2 linked regions of the Drosophila melanogaster genome follow. The protein of the gene in region 2 interacts with the protein of the main gene of each other region in a pairwise test. Each region holds a gene or a part of one and is shown on either strand. Other genes may lie near its edges.

Evidence for each region. The genes of interacting proteins can lie anywhere in the genome.
Region 1: the proteins of CG13362 (region 2) and mRpS17 interact in a two-hybrid assay, tested with the Drosophila melanogaster proteins (one large-scale study listed by BioGRID).

What each region holds. Positions count from the first base shown.
Region 1 is NT_033778.4:24,172,501-24,176,606, forward strand, and holds mRpS17 (mitochondrial ribosomal protein S17), read right to left. Parts: upstream 1,942-4,106; 5' UTR 1,868-1,941; coding exon 1,760-1,867; intron 1,696-1,759; coding exon 1,336-1,695; 3' UTR 1,165-1,335; downstream 1-1,164. Other genes in the region: CG3328 (uncharacterized protein), read left to right, coding at 1-338, 536-755, 816-896; Nop60B (nucleolar protein at 60B), read left to right, coding at 2,455-2,467, 2,528-2,896, 2,973-3,224, 3,417-3,691, 3,927-4,106.
Region 2 is NC_004354.4:748,111-753,188, forward strand, and holds CG13362 (uncharacterized protein), read right to left. Parts: upstream 3,192-5,078; 5' UTR 3,060-3,191; coding exon 3,042-3,059; intron 2,746-3,041; exon of another isoform or gene 2,725-2,745; coding exon 2,663-2,724; intron 2,622-2,662; exon of another isoform or gene 2,605-2,621; coding exon 1,716-2,604; 3' UTR 1,131-1,715; downstream 1-1,130. Other genes in the region: CG13361 (uncharacterized protein), read right to left, coding at 4,029-4,125, 4,204-5,078.

The sequences.
Region 1 (4,106 bases), on a different chromosome or scaffold from region 2:
CTGGAGGCCCAGCCGGGATTCCTGGGCAAGAGCTCACACGGCACCGACGCCCTGACCAAGAAGCAGACCGAACCGGTGGTCGCAGCCAAGGACGATCCCGTCTACCGCCTTCTGCAATCCGCCTCTGGGCAGGATCAGGGGCCGAAGGCCGACGAGTCCGTGCTGCCGCCCTTCCAGCTGGATTGCTGGAGTGTGGCCAGTTGCGTCCTAGCGGCCCAGTACAACCACACCATTGACGTGGAGCAGTTCTGTCCCACCTCGGGCAGTTCCCTCAATGTCAGCTATGTGGTTCCGGTATCGCGCTATCTGCAGGCCAGTAGTCTGGAGCTCCATCTGAGGTTAGTTGGGTACACTTTATTTCATTATTCTGTAACAAATGTATTCGAATTCGGTAAGATCTTAAAGTATCTTAAAGATACAAATGCAGTATGTGTTTACATACAAAATCATACTGCCCTTGAACCCATTCAAAGTTCCATTGACTCCTAATGAATTCTTTACAATCACTTATTTTATTACCATCTATATCCAACAGCTCCAACAAGCCGCTGCAGTGGTCCATCTGCGTCGACGAGGATCAGGCCAAGCCGAGTGCCAACGGCCAGCTGAACGAGGATGACGAGGCCGAGTCCACCAGCGGGGTGAAGATCCTCAAGCAGCAGGGCAAGAACAAACTGAGCCTGGCCCTGGATCTTCCCGCCCGCGGCTACTTCCTACGGGAGTTTATGCTCCGCGCCAGCCACGACCTGGAGCAGGTGCGTTATCCGGACGCATTAACGCGAAATCCAGCGACTCTAGCCTCCTTTTCGTTGCAGCAAAAACTGTGCGACGACAACGCTCACCCGGCAAACCCCATACTCCAGTACAACTTTAGGATCGTAAGAGATTGTGATTAGTATTCAGCTTAATTTATGGCACGGACCGAATCTGAACTCTAAAACCATGTGCGTGTGCAGCACGTTTCGGTGTTGCGGATGTGTCCTGGCACCTGGCGCGGAAAAATCGTTTGAATTAGGAAAATTCAAAAATTAAATAATCAAAAACTGTTGATCAGCGAGAGGAAGTTGAAAATGCATACATTTATACGTATACACAACAAATCATCAATAAATGCAAAAAAAAAAAAACAACTATCGACCATTAAAATAAAATATGTAGAGAAATCTTTTAAACCTGCCTTTTTAATTCAATTCAAGCAATCAAAAACCTATAAAAATATCTTCTTTCGTCGGCCTAACCATTTTATAAGAAAACCGAGAAACATATGTACGTCATATTAATGCACTTTACTATTAAACAAAGGGGAAACTTAACAGATAAACGACCGGCAGAGCTCTAAACGGCGAACGGCTGATCCTTGCCATCCTCGTGGTACTTGATGTATGTTTCCCCGTGGGTGAAGTCCTTGGTTCCCTCCAGGCGACCGCGGGGCGGTGCCTTCTCGTAGTCGAAGGCCTTCTCTGACTTGCCGAACAGCTGGTTGGCCATCTCGATGTCCTCGCGGTAATTGCCCACGACCACCTTCTTGCCAGTGAGCGGGTCCGTTATGTCACCCAGCGGATAGACCACTTTTTCCACGTTGTGCGTGATGAGGCGGGTGAGGCGCTCTGGCAGTTCCCGTATCAGGACCACGTCCCCGGTCTTGCACACCTTCTGCGGATCGTGGGCGAAGTAGAACTCGTCCTTCTTAAAGTACTGCGAGCAGAAGGGAAATTGTGTGAAATCTCCTGAGGCGAGATCTAATGTATATTATGCACACCATATTCAGGTTCTTGTCCAGCTCCATTCGGCGAATGCGGATCTTGGAGGCGTTCTGCTTGATGCAGGGCATGCACTGGCCCATTAGTAGGAGTCCTCGCCTCGACATTACTTTAATTTAATTTAAGAGTTTAGAAAAATAAACAACCGGTTGGGAAACACAGCTGGTAGATCACTGGCGATAGTATCGATTGGGCCTGGAACTATCAATATTTCGATATTTTTTACTCAGCAGTTTCTGATTTTCAAAATCCCGCCAAATGCAATCAGCTTGCACGCGTCAGTTAAAAAGTAGGGTAGTATGACTTTTCATCGCAAAAACAAGTGGATTCTAAGGACATAACATTTTCACCGTACTATAAACAGTGTATCAGTTTTACATAACATATCTTTTCAATTAAATAATGCTTTAATGGATTAAAAATGTTTACGTCAAAGTAAATACCTTTAAATTCATTTTGTTTATGAATAATACATATTTTTAATTCAAAATTGTAATAAGGAATTCGGCTCACGATGACATATCGCAAGATTTCCATTTATGTATCGATGTCTTCATGAAATACATTTCTGTGTAGTCACACTTATCGATAGACCGCGCACTCCACGTGTTTTTCGTCCATTTTCTCGCAGCGCGCAACACGTGCGGAGGTTTCTCTCCGTCTATTAGTTGATTTAGCAGAAAACGTAGATAAAATGGCCGACGTGGGTAAGTCTGGCAAGTGATGAATTAAAAGAGTGCCCAAATAAACGGACTATGCGCCCGCAGAAGTACGCAAGGAGAAGAAAAAGAAGAAGATCAAGGAGGAGCCCTTGGACGGCGATGACATTGGCACGCTGCAGAAGCAGGGCAACTTCCAAATCAAGCCCTCCTCCAAGATCGCCGAGCTGGACACCTCGCAATGGCCGCTGCTCCTGAAGAACTTCGACAAGTTGAACATCCGTTCCAACCACTACACTCCGCTGGCGCACGGATCGTCGCCCCTGAACCGCGACATCAAAGAGTACATGAAGACTGGCTTCATCAACCTGGACAAGCCGTCGAACCCCAGCTCCCACGAGGTGGTGGCCTGGATCAAGAAAATCCTCAAGGTGGAGAAGACAGGCCACTCCGGCACGCTGGATCCCAAAGTCACGGGTAAGTGAAGCGCGTGCTCGCCTACCGCCATACAAACCTAACCTCATTGTGTGCCGCGTGTTTTTTTTTCCTACAGGTTGCCTGATTGTTTGTATTGACAGGGCCACCCGTCTGGTGAAGTCCCAGCAGAGCGCCGGCAAGGAGTACGTGGCCATCTTCAAGCTGCACGGAGCCGTGGAGTCGGTGGCCAAGGTGCGTCAGGGCCTGGAGAAGCTGCGTGGTGCCCTCTTCCAGAGACCTCCACTCATCTCCGCCGTAAAGCGTCAGTTGCGCGTTCGTACTGTCTACGACAGCAAGCTGTTGGACTACGATGAAACCCGAAATATGGGTAAGTCAGAAGTTTTGTTTATCCATTCTCGCTCAGAGTTGGTGCGTCGCTGCTGGATTAGTTTATCCTGCAGAGGTGCAGCCTGCTTCAGCCAGTGAAACACCAGTATTTGCCTAACACAGCAAATGCACAATGTAATTGTTAAAACCTCGTCTTTTTCTCTCCTCCAATTCTGCCCACTCACGTGCTCAGGTGTTTTTTGGGTTAGTTGCGAGGCCGGCTCCTACATCCGTACCATGTGCGTCCATCTTGGTCTCGTACTGGGTGTCGGTGGCCAGATGCTGGAGCTCCGCCGTGTCCGCTCGGGCATTCAGTCTGAGCGCGATGGTATGGTGACCATGCACGATGTTTTGGACGCCATGTGGCTGTACGAAAACCACAAGGACGAGTCTATGCTGCGACGTGTGATCAAGCCGCTAGAAGGTCTGCTGGTCAACCACAAGCGCATTATTATGAAGGACAGTTCGGTAAGTTTGACATCCAGTTGCCGTTTGCGAAGTAGTACCCCATGATATTAAGCCGGCAGGTGCCTGCAATCCCCACGGGCACCTGTGACTATGATTGGGAACAGCAAAGCTGCTGATGTGTGTATGTTGGGCAGCGCTCTTATCCTGCGCGCTCGACAAAGAATATTCGGTCGACATTTCCTCTAGCAAAGGACCCCCTTATGATATCAACTAACAACCATCAATCTTTCTCCAGGTCAACGCCGTTTGCTATGGTGCCAAGATTACATTGCCCGGTGTCCTGCGCTACGAGGATGGCATTGAAATCGATCAGGAGATCGTCATTTGCACCACCAAGGGTGAGGCCATTTGCCTGGCCATCGCCCTCATGACCACAGCCACTATGGCCTCTTGTGACCATGGTGTGGTGGCCAAG
Region 2 (5,078 bases):
TTCCCAGCATGACTCTGCTCCTATTTTATAGTATTTATTTTTGGATGTACAGTGTGAGTGCGATGCTGCCTGCCACGCCTCCAGATGTGGCATTTATGGAATAGGGCGCGACAAATCGAATCCGAATCCTGTGATAAAACGATTTCCTTGTGCCCTAATAAGTTTTTCCAATGATTTCCAAGTGTGTTCAGCGCGTGGCAGGTAGTCTGGTCTTTTAAGTGACTGTGAGTGTGAGTGACGTACGCGCTTCGTCTGCGCAATCTCATTATATATAAAATGACAAAAGGTTATGTTTTATGTTTAGTTTTTTGTGCGAGTAAATCTAGAAAATCTACAAGTACGAAGACAAGGACAAAACACCGATGCAATCGGTGGCCTAATAAGAAATGAAGAAAACGAGTTCATGAAACACGCGAAAGAAATCATACGCAGTAAACGAAAGTCTTTCTCTTATAAGAAAGGATAAGTGTATTTTTTTGGAAAGGCATCGAAGAAAGGCTATAGCCATGAGCATGAGAAGAATATCTAAGAAAGATGGCTTAGGTAATATTGATAGGCCATATTATTGCAATTTCCCTACCACATAAGTTCACAAACGCAAGCAAAAGTAACACAAAGCAAACAAACAAACAAACGAGCAAACATGCAAGCATTCAAAAGCTGCATAGCACACAAACAATCGAAGAATCGATTCGTTCAGAGCGCATGCGTAGCAGATTTAGCATTAAGTACGATCTTCTAGAGGTAAGATGCATTTTTTTTTTGTTAGTTGGGGGCCAGTCTCTACGGGGAGACTTTGCCCTGATACTCTAGATCGTAATTTTCGATTGTTTAATCCCCGAAGCTTAGAGATAATTGTACTCGTGTTTGTATTTGAATGCGGTTTATATTTATGACTATATTTATATATCGATGTATACATGTATATCTAAAAACTTAAACGACTGATTATATATTTTCCCCTGATTAGTTGTATACTTAACTCCTTTTTTGTAATACCTATGCATTAACTATGCTAAGACCACTTTGGCACTTTGGCGACCGTTGAAATGAAAACGGAGTGGATAACTTTCTGCGTTTTCCCCAAATCGCAAGCTAATTTCAACTTCAAAGACTCAAAGCACAAGTTCATCTAGTTAAGTAAATGTATTTGTAATTGTTGAATTGATGATTAAAGGATAGTTCTCCACTAATTGAGGAGGCACGTTTGATGTGGAGGAACTATGGAGATGAAAAAGGTGGAGCTTAGGGATCTTCGCTCGTTGCTAGTTGAAATTCGTGCAACAAGCGCAAAGTATTAAAATATTGATAAATACAATTTAAATGTGTAAATGTAATTGATCGAGCATCCGAATATGAATCAATAAAAGAACATGAAATCAATGGAATCCCATTATCGGCATTTTTTTTGTAATACCGTACTCTAATTAAGATTACTTACTTTCTTGCAGGCTCTCGGTATTTATGGCTACTTTTATTTAATAATTTCTTTATTATTATATTTATTAAATATTGAAAAAAAATTCTTTCAGCAGACGCTTACTTTTATATGCTGGAGTATCCCTGAATTGACATTCTTACTAAATATTATATTTAATCGTTCTTTCATTTGTTTTTAATATTTGTTTTAAGATCTCTAGGGCACCCCTTTAGTGACAAGTCAGTCGTGGATTGGCTTTATACCAGAAAGGCTGTTGCTGCACCATCCAATTGAACTAGACAGGACTGTCTGAAGTTATATCCTGTCTTTCTGTCTGGGCCTTGATGGCAATGCCTTCCAGACTGTGACTCTGGCTCTGGCCCTGATCCTGTTCCTGCCCCTGCCCCTGTTCCTCATCCTCGTCCTCTTCCTCTCCCTCGTTATCTGTCTCGCCATCAACTTCCGCTTCCAATTCCTGTCCCTCGATGTGACGAGCCGCCGGCTGGGACACGAACGATGTGGAGGAAGTGGACAGCTGCGAAGGCAATGTGGCCGCTGTCGAGGATGAGACGAAACTGGGCATACTGACCGGGCACATGCAGGGAACAAATTGAATGCGACTGTTACTGGAGACCCCTTGCTCCGATACTACGGTCTGCTGCTGCGGCTGATAGTTGAAGTAATCCGGATATGGATACTGAGGCCTGGCGTTATAGAGGTTGTTTACCCGGCGATTGTACGCGGGATATTCACCAAAGCGCAGCAAGCTAGAAGTGGGTCCTTCGGAGAAACTACTACTGGTGGACTGGGGCGGAGGTGGTACTGGTGGTGGGGTTGTACTGGTGGTAGTAGTACTAGGTCTTGTTGTTGGTGCCGGAGTGGTGGTTGTGGTGGTGGTAGTTGTTGTCGTTGGCGCGGGAGTGGTGCTGGTTGTCCGAGAGCTACTCGGCGCGTTGCTCAAGTCCGTCGGAGCAGTAACTTCTTGCCTGGAAACGGAGTCATGTCGTCTGCCAGCAGCGTAACTGGTCATCCCATATGGATCGTACTGAGCACCAGGCAGCATAGGCGTCTGAGCAGCTCCAAATCCAAAAAACCCAGGAGCTAATGGCTGATAAGTGTATGTGCGGAAATAGGTGAGCGGAATTTGCTGGAGGATTTGGCCGCCACTCGGCTCCCTGGTTTCCCTATGGATACGATGAAGGTGAGACTTAATTGAGCAGTTATACAGCTTAATTTACTTACGTTGTTGTCTTTGGCCACCAGAAAGCGTTGGACAGTCGGGAACCTGTCAGGATAAGAGTAATCTAGCGGGAAAAGGAGAATGGGTGAGTTTTTCAATTCCTTAACAAATGCCATTGGCTAGGTATTACAATTAAAAAACAATATTCGTTCAAAAGTCGAAATTAGATTTACTCAAATTGTTTAGATTCATATGTACATATATTGTACTAGCTTCGTCCATACAATTATTTTTTCAAAATTGACCATGAGCAAATTTTTTAAAATTTTTTTTATTGCATTTATCACCGATAACATTCACTTGTATCACAAAAAAAAAAAAAAAATTTTAAACCAAAAAATTTTCTTTATATGTAGGCAAGTAAATCCTTTTTTCACATACCACAAAACTTAGCCTCATATCTATGTCCAAAATACGATTTTCTGAGGGAATTTCCCTTTATCCTTGGGAAGCAATGAACAAATTTATGAAGAATTGAGCAAACTTATATAAACCACTCGCGTGCGCAGTCGCCTTTGTTCTAAGCCCAAAAAGAGTGACGGTCCGAGCTTTTATAGCCCAAAACAGATTGGGGAATCGCTTGGGATCGATTGTGTGGCCCATGGCAATGCTGGTCAGAACAGAAACGCCGACATCGAGCAGGTTTTTCCCCAGCCAAGAAAACGGTGGAATGGGGAGCTCTAAGTTCGGAGTGGGATATATAGTTCCCCTTGTAGAACAACGAGAAAATTAATTGCAGTCTGCAAAGCGAAAACTAAGCTGGGAAATCTATAATAATAATGACGGGGCGAACAACCGGGAGAGGCACATCATTGATAAAGTGATTGAATGAATGATGGATCCACCGACGTGGAAAGGAGGGCTGCGTTTTTGAAAGAGCCGCATCTATTCCAATGGCCGTAAACATTTGTTGATGACTTTTCTTCTTTGCCCTGCCTTGCTTTTTAACACATTCAAATTTTGTTTTCCTTTCTGATTTTCCGTGTATTGGACTCTGGAATTTGGGTCAGGCGATGGCTTTAGCTCACCCGTCCGATTTGCACGTTGGGTTATGCAACTATAGATCGCTCAATAAAGTGGTCCCTATTCTTCACTTTCCAATTTACGACCGCCTTTTCAGAGCTCGGGTTCTCTTTTGACCCCAAACATGAATGACTGCCCTTTATCGGTCGTAAAACGGTTCCACAAGGCAACCTAGCTAGGCATTACAATCTAAATTGTCTCATGACTTTTTCTGAAGGCTTTATTTATGGAGAGAGGCATTAATGATCATCTCGGAGCACTGTGATCTGTAATCTCTTGGACAAAGAATGTCACCCCAAAAACTATTCTTAATCAATTTTAGTTATTAACATATAATTATTTGTGCTATCTCCGAGGTCTGAAGCCGTTCTCTATGTACTTGGATGTGTAGTATTTGGTCTGATTGTCCGTTCCATGTGACCGATGGTAGGGTCCCTTGTAGCTGAAATTCAAGAGGGATAAAATAAGTAAAAAATATATAAATTAAATATTTAAGACGAAGCAGCGAGCACCAACTAACCGTGAATTTAGTATAAACCAGGTACTAGGCTCCCTTTCCAAGGAGCTTCTTGCCGAGCGATCACTTTTCTCTAGTAGATTCTTGGATGGATTCTGTGTTTGTGGCTGGAGCAGTTTACCCAGGGTATACACTGGAAATGCATAGTACTTCTTTTTCAGGGCATACCGAGAGCTCTGTCGCAATGGCGTTGGCGGCGTAGTGGGACTCAGAGTATCGACGGCTGGTCGTTCCAAACTCTCATCGATGTAGACGATCTGGAAGGGCTCACTGCTGCTGGCGGTAGACGTTTCTGTTGGCTCGGGAGGTAGTTCCACCTCTGTTTCGGCTTCATGTGCTGTTAGCCAGTCTTGTTCATCAAGCTCCTCCTCTACACCATCGCTTAGATCCCCCAACTCCTTCTGCTCGTCCGGCTCCACTTCCTCGCTGGAGTGATGACGATGATTGTCGTTGTGACCAGTGGATCGTCGCAGGACTGTCTGCCATTGCATCACTTCTTGAGGGGAATGAAAGGCCTCATATTGCTTGGCCTTCTTTCTCTTTCGCTTTCCCAGCGTTAGCATTCCCTCAATTCTGGGCAGCTGTGTCTCGTAGGGTGATGTCATGGGCGTGGTGGAAGTGGTGGGTGCTTGAGTGGATGTGCTAGTTAGGGCTGGATCATTGATGGCCTCTTGGGCATAAAAGGGAATTAAAGTCAGGTTCATGATCTCCCGTTGTCCTGGAAAGCGGAATCGCTCTACAATCGGTTTTGGACGAAACATGGGCGTCGATGGTGGATAGAGAACTTGGCCTGGAACTGGTTCCTGCATGGGATAACGCCTCCTGCTCAGCATGGTGTTGAGAATCAGTTCTCCCCTGGTTCCATTGTACACGAAAAC